2 linked regions of the Saccharomyces cerevisiae S288C genome follow. Changing the gene in region 1 together with any one later gene gives a genetic interaction. Each region holds a gene or a part of one and is shown on either strand. Other genes may lie near its edges.

Evidence for each region. Genes that interact genetically often act in the same process or in processes that back each other up.
Region 2: of YJL043W (region 1) and ADY3, changing one enhances a phenotype caused by changing the other (phenotypic enhancement), as found in Saccharomyces cerevisiae (one study listed by BioGRID).

The regions. Positions count from the first base shown.
Region 1 is NC_001142.9:357,089-362,462, reverse strand, and holds YJL043W (uncharacterized protein), read right to left. Parts: upstream 2,334-5,374; coding exon 1,560-2,333; downstream 1-1,559. Other genes in the region: MHP1 (Mhp1p), read right to left, coding at 1-1,214; GTPase-activating protein GYP6, read left to right, coding at 2,787-4,163; succinate dehydrogenase SDH9, read right to left, coding at 4,535-5,374.
Region 2 is NC_001136.10:25,903-30,581, reverse strand, and holds ADY3 (Ady3p), read left to right. Parts: upstream 1-1,806; coding exon 1,807-4,179; downstream 4,180-4,679. Other genes in the region: GUD1 (guanine deaminase), read left to right, coding at 128-1,597. UniProt on the Saccharomyces cerevisiae protein: Involved in the pathway that organizes the prospore membrane (PSM) during sporulation. Mediates the assembly of the DON1 ring structure at the leading edge of PSM during meiosis II.

The sequences.
Region 1 (5,374 bases):
GAGGCATTGGTGCTGTTGTTGTTGTTGTTCCCATAAGAGGTAACTTTCCTTAAAAAGGCGCCGAATTTATGAGAAGAAGGTGTCTGATTATTATTCTGCGCTGACGAGGAAACGTCCGAATTGGAATCCACTGTGTCTACTATCGATGCGTTGCTTGGATGCTTCTTCCTGAAGGCGGAAGGCAATTTGGGTGCGTCGGGATGCGGCGGAATGGGTCTTCCCTTAGCGTCAAATTTCTGGTGAGCAAGTGATTTGGCAGGTTGTGGTTTGTCGTTATGTAATGAGAACGAAGCGCGTCTATTTTTCTTGGTTGTGGGAGACGCAGATGACTTAATAAAGTTCCCTTCTTTGAAGGCGGCTAATTTGTAATCCTTAGATTTGTAGTAGCGCAAGAAATCCATTAATCTAGGATCAGGTCGAGAGCCGCCATAGTTATGATCGTCTGCGGGGGAAGTTCCGTCGACTTTACCCTCTTCTGGTGAGTGGTATGTGCGCATACGGCCATGGTAGTAGCTTTGCGGATGATTTTCGTAATACACTTCTGATTCCGTCTTGGATCTTGTTAACGGTACCACAGTATCGTTATAAGAGGGTGGAGCATTGTACTGCAAAGGCGGTGGTGATTCCGCAGATATGGTAGCCGTTCTTTCTCTTCTTATGGCCGCGCCACGGTCCACGTGAGTCGGAGAGGGTGAGCGCTCTTTCCTTTCTCGTTCCTTCTCCTGTTGTTCCTGATCCTTCTTCCTATGGCCAAACAGACTCTTAAAGAATCCGACCTTCTTAGGTGCAGGAGCATCTTCCGTGTGATGGTGGTGGCGGTGGTGGTGATGATGTCCGGAGTCAGCCTCAACGTTAGACAGGTTAGTCTCCACCACTGACTTCGACCTACCCCTAGGGGGAGGAATGTTTGTGGGAACGGATGTAGACCCAGCGTTAGCACGCTGATTATCCATTAGCAAGCTCGCAGCTACGGAGTGACGGCGTCCCTTATCGTTTGAAGAAAGAATGCTGCTGGAAGAGTCTACAGACGTTTCGAAAACGGGCGGGCGAGCAGTGTCCATCTGGATGTCAGGAGCCACACTGTTGGCCTTGGACTCGGATTTCCCTGGTCTGGAGCTCTTGCTGGTGGAGGCACTGGGCCTGACCAACCATCCAACGTCGATGCAGGGGATTCGGTGCTCCTTAAGCAACTTTTGCGTGTCCTTGGAGTCCATGGAGCAGTTGTAGGGCTATCTTGTATATTTTGCGTATTTAAGTGCGATTATGCGAGTGCCTGAGTGGTGTATATGTATGTACATATGAACGCTTTAAGGCAGAAGCTTGTTATATAAAGGAGAATGAGAACGCAGCATTTGCTTGTACAGCCAGATGCTTCGAGTGAAACACCGTTGCGTAAATTGAACCTGAACGTTCTAGATGCGAAAACAATACAATAAGCCAATAACGTAAACAGTCGCGCAGCACGAGGAAGGGGGGAGAGCAAGCTGTCCAGGACGGGTGAACATCGAACGGGGCCGACGGCCTAAAAGAGAAGCTGATGAAAAAAAAAAAGGCCCGGGCTACCATTGGAACAACGGGTCCGTAGTAGGTAGCGCACCCAACAGTGCCTCCAACTGCACCACACACTTGCGCTGTCGCCCTTTTGATGCTTCGTCTTCGTCCTCTATCTGCATGTTGTAATCAGACCCGTAGCGCGACCAAATGTCGTAGTCGTCAACATGCGGTGTGGCGTACACCAACTCCGGTGACGACGTCCAAAGTAGCTGCAGCGGCATTTCGCTCGCGTGCCTGATCTCACAATCATGCAGCACAGACCTTAGGTCCCTGGTGCTCATTGCAGTTTCGCCAATAAACAGCATGGGGATGATGATAGTCCGTGACTGTTGCCAGGGAAATCTCCACTTGGGTCGGTTGGTACAGCCTGTGTGTTTTACCGTTGATGGGCCCATGTAGTGGGACCAGTCATCCAAGAGCCTAGCATAGCTTTGACGTAGCGGCGCCGTCGCGGCGCCGCTTTCAAAGCTAGCCGGGTTGGCGATCTCGATGGGTATTATGGTGTTGCATTTCTGCAGGAGGTCGATACAGTCGGTGATCTGGTGTAGGGTCATCGCCATAGCAAACAATTTCTGCGTCAGTCCGGCAGTACGGCCACTAGCAAAGTCTTCGTCAGTAAGTGCCACAATGTCGTGGCACTTTGGTACTAGACTTTTCAGAATCTCCAATTGTTCGCTGATGGCTTCACAGCGCTGAAAACAGCAGTAAGTGTTGACCAACTTACCAAAAGATGCATTTATATCCGTGTAACGCTCCAGTCCGGAATAATCAACAAACATGGCTTGCGGTTTTCCTGAACACTCACCTTTTAGTATTCTTTTTTTCTTTTTTTTCTATTTTTTTTTCGACATAATTATTATTTTTTCTTGAATTATTTACTGACGCAAAGTTCTGACCACAGAAAAATTCCACGTCTTATTTTGCCCATGCCAGCCGTAGAATACGCACACGTGTACGCATGCTCCAAGTGTTATTGTAACTGGATGGTGCGCTGGTTTAGGCCTGTAAGCGGTCGTAAAGGAAAACCGGATATTATGTTACCCGCTTCTCCTACGGCATTACTAGTTCCTTTTTTTTTTTTTTTCAATTTTTCCATTGAGTTTTCCATAATCGGTACAGCAGCGTTTAATTTCATTACCTTTTTCAGAACAATGGGGGAGAGTTGTCAAGAGAATTGGCATACATAGAGAGGGTTAGCTGTCGTGCGTTTGTATTTTTTCGCTTATGCAACCATGAAGGATGTCTTACAATGGGCGATTGACCACTACGAGACAAGAGACCAACTGGTGCAGAAGGGAATTTGGAAAGGTGAACTCTACCATGACTCTATCTTTAAAGAAAATAGTAGAGGCTGGCTCTGGAAAGCTTTGCTTCTGTGTGATGAAAACAACAACTGCTTGTTAACTGATAACTTTAAAGGTTTGGACCTTAACCAGTTCGGCTTGGTGCCAGTGCCTATGCTGGCAGATGGCGACAACTATGACGAAAATCATAATGCAAATGTACCTAAAAGGGTCTTGCACTCGAACGTTTCCTCCTCAGTGGGAATCAGGAGGCTGACTCCCGTCGAGGCTGTTGAAAAACATCCCTTGTCTGATGACAATGACAAAACTAAAGGTTCTTTGTCCAAGGGAAGTGATGAAAAGCCGTTGACACTGAGGGAAACTCTGGAAATTATAGATTTGGACCTCTCAAGGATAATGCTTGACGATATATTTCAGGAACCCAAGGTTCATGCTCAAATGAGACAACTTTTGTACAATTACCTGCTTATACATCAAAGCGAACACCTACAGTATAAACAAGGGTTCCACGAAATATTAAGCGTCATTTATCTGCAATTATATCACGGTACAGATCTCGATAATACCGATTTGCAAAACGTTCTGATTATCTTTAACAAGCTAATGAACCAAATCGAACCGATTTTTTATAACGAAGAAAATTTGATTAACTGGGATAAGAGAGTATTCACGAAAATCTTTAGGATTTGTTTGCCAGACTTGTTTTCAAAGGTTTTTTACCAACCACCAAAAACGGGCAGCGGGAAGAAAAAAAACGTAGACCATCTGATTCACTCCAACCTAATCTGGCTCATCCGATGGACAAGGTTGTTATTTTTAAGAGAATTACCCTTAAAATATGTGCTAATCGTTTGGGACCACGTCCTGACGTTCAATTATCCCTTGGATATTTTCATTGCATGCACTATCATCACCCTTTTGTTATCCATTTACGATGAGCTTCACGAACTAGTGAGCCAAGGTGACTATGAACATACGAATAATAACGATGAATTTGTTGAATTGATTTTGCATTTCAAGAAAATTTTTGAAAAGGAAGATGCCAGTAAAGATGATGAAAAGTTTTTAGACCTGTGTAAGGTCACTGGAAATTTATGTGAATTGTGGTATGGAAAAAATTACGACGATATGAGATTGATTTGCGACACTTTTATAAATGCGAAGTTCGGCATAAAGACTAGTGATGTTTTAAGTATGGAAACAGCAAAGTTGACTATTGATCCTAATAGACAATCACTCGAAAACAAACTGAGGGAGAGGGTAAGGCAAACAATTTTGAAGAACAAAAAGAAAATAAGCCAATAAGTTTTTCTTGTCAATTACTCGTTGTTATTTGTTTGAAATCCCAGCCTGCACACCCGCACGACAAAATCAAAAAAAAAAAAAAAAAAACCCAGCTACCACCAACAAACAGATAGCCCACATGTCATATTTCCTAATGAGCTGGTTTCCCTCTGATATTTTTGCATATTGCAGCTCGACGTATATTGTACTTCAATGTCTTGCATAAAATTATATAGCATAATAGATAAGGTGTAAGTTGACAGTAAACGAGTACTATTGACCAAGAATCAATGAGAGAGATAGAGAGAAAAATAAGAAAAAAGGGAAAGATCATTTTTGCCAGATCAATAAATAAGTTTGCCCTCCAAAATAAATAAATAAATAAATAAGAATTAATAGGATCTGACAGCTGGAGGGACTGGGGCGCATTCATTCTCATCTAAAGTATGTGCGATTACATTCCTGTACTTGATTTTTACAGGTGTTGATGTCCCCTTTTGCCATGATAATGTGTGCTTTCTCCAATTCACATCATCTCTTTTTGCATAGTCCTCTCTCGCATGAGCACCACGAGACTCCTTTCTTTTGGAAGCAGAAACAGCCGTTTGTGTGGCACAAGTAAGTAAATTTTGCAATTCCAGAGTTTCTACGAGATCAGAATTCCAGATCATTGACTTATCAGAAACGTGCACATCCTCAAATGTCTTGTCCACTTCAGTAATATTTCTAACACCTTCATCTAGAGTGTCTTGCGTCCTGAAAACAGAAACATCTTTTTGCATTGTCCTTTGCATGTTCAACCTGATTTGAGAGGTTTTCAGTGAGCCGCGAGCATTTCTTACTTTATCCAAATTAGCAATTGACTCGTGCCCGATGTTTGAAGCCAATGGCTTATGAGGCAAGCCAGGCTGTAATGTGTCAGCAATGGTATTTGCAACGGCGCGACCGAAAACGACTAAATCCAGTAGTGAGTTAGCGCCTAATCTGTTCGCTCCATGAACCGATACGCAAGCAGCTTCACCACACGCCATCAATCCTGGGATGACCTTATCCTCTCCAGTTTCCTCGTCAATGGTCAATGCTTCACCAGTCCATTTTGTGGGAATGCCTCCCATATTATAATGGACAGTTGGCAAGACAGGAATTGGCTCCTGGGTGACATCGACACCCGCAAAGACAGCAGCTGTTTCAGATATTCCCGGTAGCCTTTCCTTTAGTACCTCAGGTGGTAG
Region 2 (4,679 bases), on another chromosome or scaffold:
CACTCGGAAGTTTGGATAGTTTCGGATTATAAAAGGAGACAAGATAAGGATTTTAAAACAGGCCATTGGCAAAAGAACAACATTTTATTGAATGAATATATGAATTGGGCTGTCCTTTGAAGAGGATATGACAAAAAGTGATTTATTATTTGATAAATTCAACGACAAACATGGAAAGTTTCTAGTTTTTTTTGGTACCTTTGTAGATACCCCTAAATTAGGAGAGCTGAGAATCAGAGAGAAAACATCTGTTGGAGTTCTCAACGGAATCATCAGGTTTGTGAACAGAAATTCACTCGATCCTGTCAAAGATTGTTTAGATCACGATAGTAGCTTATCACCAGAGGATGTCACGGTGGTTGACATAATTGGAAAAGACAAGACTCGAAATAACAGCTTTTATTTTCCAGGTTTTGTTGACACGCATAACCATGTCTCGCAATATCCAAATGTCGGCGTATTTGGGAATTCTACCCTGCTGGATTGGCTAGAGAAGTATACCTTCCCCATAGAAGCCGCACTAGCAAACGAAAATATTGCGAGAGAAGTTTACAATAAGGTAATAAGTAAGACGCTTTCTCACGGTACAACGACTGTGGCTTACTATAATACCATTGATCTCAAGTCCACTAAGCTCTTGGCTCAACTAAGCTCCTTATTGGGGCAGCGTGTTCTTGTTGGAAAAGTGTGCATGGATACCAATGGTCCCGAGTATTATATTGAAGATACTAAAACTTCCTTTGAAAGCACTGTGAAAGTTGTTAAGTACATACGGGAAACCATTTGTGATCCCCTCGTAAATCCTATAGTGACACCAAGGTTCGCGCCCTCTTGTTCTAGAGAACTAATGCAACAGTTGTCCAAGCTAGTCAAGGATGAAAACATACACGTTCAAACCCACTTGTCGGAAAATAAGGAGGAGATACAGTGGGTTCAAGATTTATTTCCCGAATGTGAGAGCTATACTGATGTATACGACAAATATGGGCTGCTCACAGAAAAAACAGTATTGGCACATTGTATTCATCTAACAGATGCCGAAGCGCGTGTGATTAAACAGCGTCGCTGTGGTATATCTCATTGTCCCATTTCCAACTCCTCTCTGACTTCTGGAGAGTGTAGGGTTCGATGGTTGCTGGACCAGGGCATAAAGGTTGGTCTAGGCACCGACGTTTCAGCCGGTCATTCTTGTAGCATACTCACCACCGGAAGGCAGGCCTTTGCAGTTTCAAGGCATTTGGCAATGAGAGAAACTGATCATGCAAAACTTTCAGTCTCCGAGTGCCTATTTCTTGCTACAATGGGCGGAGCACAAGTCTTGCGTATGGATGAGACCTTGGGGACTTTTGACGTCGGTAAGCAGTTTGACGCTCAAATGATCGATACCAATGCTCCCGGCTCAAACGTGGATATGTTTCATTGGCAGCTAAAGGAGAAGGATCAAATGCAAGAGCAAGAGCAAGAGCAAGGGCAAGACCCTTATAAGAACCCACCGCTGCTTACTAATGAAGACATAATCGCAAAATGGTTCTTTAACGGTGATGATCGCAACACCACTAAAGTTTGGGTAGCCGGCCAGCAAGTCTACCAGATTTAGTTGTATATGTTTAGAGGGCTACTATATCTTGTTCCAAGTATTAATGAGTAATTTGAGTATATGTACAAATTTCTTTTGCGTATCGCGCTTTAGCCGCCCATTGTACAATATTAAGATTAGGAACACAAAGAGATTTGCCAGTGAAAGAATTGCAAAACTCGGTTTGGGATTTTGAATGGGATAGTTGAATACAACAAACTTCTCCGAATATGAATCATTGGTTAGCATTTTTGAATAAGCCTGAATCCCTAAAGGAACAAAACTCGGATTGCGACCAGCAGGGGGAGATGAGACATGTTACTGATGGCACTTTAACTAAGTCTCCAGAAAGTAAACCTTTTCGAGAGCGGCGTTCACAAACTTGGATAGACTCTGAAGTACCTACGTCCACTGAAAAATCTAATGTGCAGGAAAGTATTTCTTCTGATATTATATCAAAACTGTCGAATAGGCGTTCCCGAAGAAACCGCTCAGAGAGTTGGGCAGGTTCAGAAGCCTCTTCACCTTCTGGTAACATTAGTACATTGGAAAATGCTACGGAAAAAAATACTTTAAAATCGCCTAATAAATTTCTACAAAGGGGTGGTTTACCAACTGTAGGAATAGGCTCGCAGGCTCTGTCACCTGCAGGAAAGCCCAGTACATTAGGAAATGTAAGCCCTGGTAAATTTACCACATACAAAGTACACAATAGTATTGAAGTGAATAGATTTTCTTCTACACCTACAAAGCTCCTCACGAATCCCCACAAAGTCGCAGCAATCTCAAATGATGAGCATTATGTTGTAAGCAATGAGAGTCTGGAGGAGAATATAGAGGTTGCGCATCTAGAGAACGTATTTCGCTCATCTAAAACTCCAGATGAAGAACAGTCCGAATATATGAAATTAGGAGAAATTAGGCTATCTTCTTCATCATATGGAGGAAGTATTTCTAAAGAAAATAGTTTACCCAAGGTATTAGATGAGCTCCAGTCCCAAAATGAAGAGATCAAAGCACTAAGACAAAAACTAGAAGAGAAGGATGACAGGATTCAAGAACTAGAAGAACTTAATAGCATGAATGATGCTAAACTTCAAAGAATAGAAGACTTGCAGAAGGAATTCCACAACGAAAGAAAAGCTGCATCAAAAAGGCTCAACATTGTTCAGGACCGGTTTCGCAAAGAAATTAAAAAAATTAGAGAAGAAAAAATTACAGACTTTCAAAACAAAAACGCTAGCAAGAAGGAGAAGAATGAAGTGACTAGTGCCAAAACTAAATGTAAAGCTTTTTCTCAAAGAAATATTTTAGTTTCGGAACTATACAGGAAGCAAAAACAAATCCTAAACTTGCAGCAAGAAAATGATAAATTTCTAAAAGATATTAACGAATCGAATAACTCTATAGTAAAATTAAGATCTGAAGTTGAAATACTGAAAAGCAATTTGCAACTTTCTCAAGATGAAAATAAAAAATTACATGATAATGGTTCGTTTTACGAGAAAAGGTTAAATGATGTTTACAGCTATATGCAAAATCTTTCTCTTTTTGAGAAAGACCTTGGTAAATTCATACTAGAAGAAATGAAATGTGGCCATTCCCCTTCGATGTTTCAAAACGGTTTTGCCAAGCTTTATCCGGATTTTCAAGATATCAAAAATCTTGAAAATATGGAGCAATACAAACAATTAAAAGGAAAGATAGAACTTTTGGAAAAGAATGACCGTATACGTCTTGAAAAAATCATTTCTGTCTTTAAATTGATTAATGAAAGATTACATTTTATGCAACAGCAGCACAGTCACAAAATAAAATATCTTCAAAAAGAGGCGTTAACAAAAGAACAACAATTTCGTTTGGAAAAAAGGAGATGGCATGATATCCTGAACCTCAAGGAAGAAAACTTTCAAAAACTGAAGAGCGAGTTAAAAGAAAAATTAATACTAAGTGAAAAAATTCAGAAAAATGCCGAAGATAAATTGAACGATTACATGAATGAACACCAGGAAATTGTTGAGAAACTTCAGAATCAGGCTTTGATTGCTTCAAGATGGAGCACTCAAATTCAAGAGTCAGAAAACACACATAAGAAAATTACTGACGAGTTAGCTGGAAAACAAAGTGAAATATTAAAACTCGAAGAAACAATTCTATCACTAAAAGAAGATGTATTCCAAGAGAAGCTGAATTTAAAAAAACTATATGGTGATCCTTCTACCGAACTTAATTTTGAAACTGTTGGAAAATCTTTTCCACATATAACGAAGGAAAAGTACGACTCCTTGGGTCTTGATATTCTGACAGACCTTACCTATGTGCAATCGCAAAATCTAATCAAAAATTTATTAATTGTGTTGGATATCCCATTAAAAACCTTCTTAAAAATTGTACCAACAATTGTCATTCAACTTAGATGTGAGCTTACACTTCTCACAAAATTTGCTAATGATTTGAACCTTAAGGTTTTTGGTAAACAGTTAGATTTCAAAAGTAGAAGAAAGGTCGCAATGAATGAGTTTTTGAACAATCATGATATTGCTGAAGTAAAGCATCCTCTTGAGTATGATTTGCAAGCGTTGTTTAAATATTTCTTTTCTTAGCTTTTTTTTTTTTATTTAGAACTAATATATTCAATGGTGTCATTAATTATTATTTAGAGAATAAGTTACTGGTGGGGGGTGCACCTAAAATAAAGTCACATAATATAGAGCATGGCAGATATTTTACCGCTGGTATTGCTTTTCCGAAATTTTGGTGGAATATTCTTCTGAAAGATTTCAATTTGCTAACAGACTTCTTAAGCACTTACAAGAACAATGTAACTTCTGATCTGCTGTTGGAGATGTTCTGAGATATAAACAAAATTTACATCAAAAGGCGAGTAATACAATGATACAAATGATTATAAGTACATACTAATGTTACAATTTCTAATTCCATTTTAGTCAGAATATACTATGTTGTATAATAATAAAATAATGTCCATTTCCATAGCATACTGGTAAGATTTTATTGAAATAGGCAAAGAAAAAAGCAAAGAACTCTAATAAGAACGACAAACCTCGAAATCTGAGGGGAAGGAGAAGAAAAAAAGGAAAAT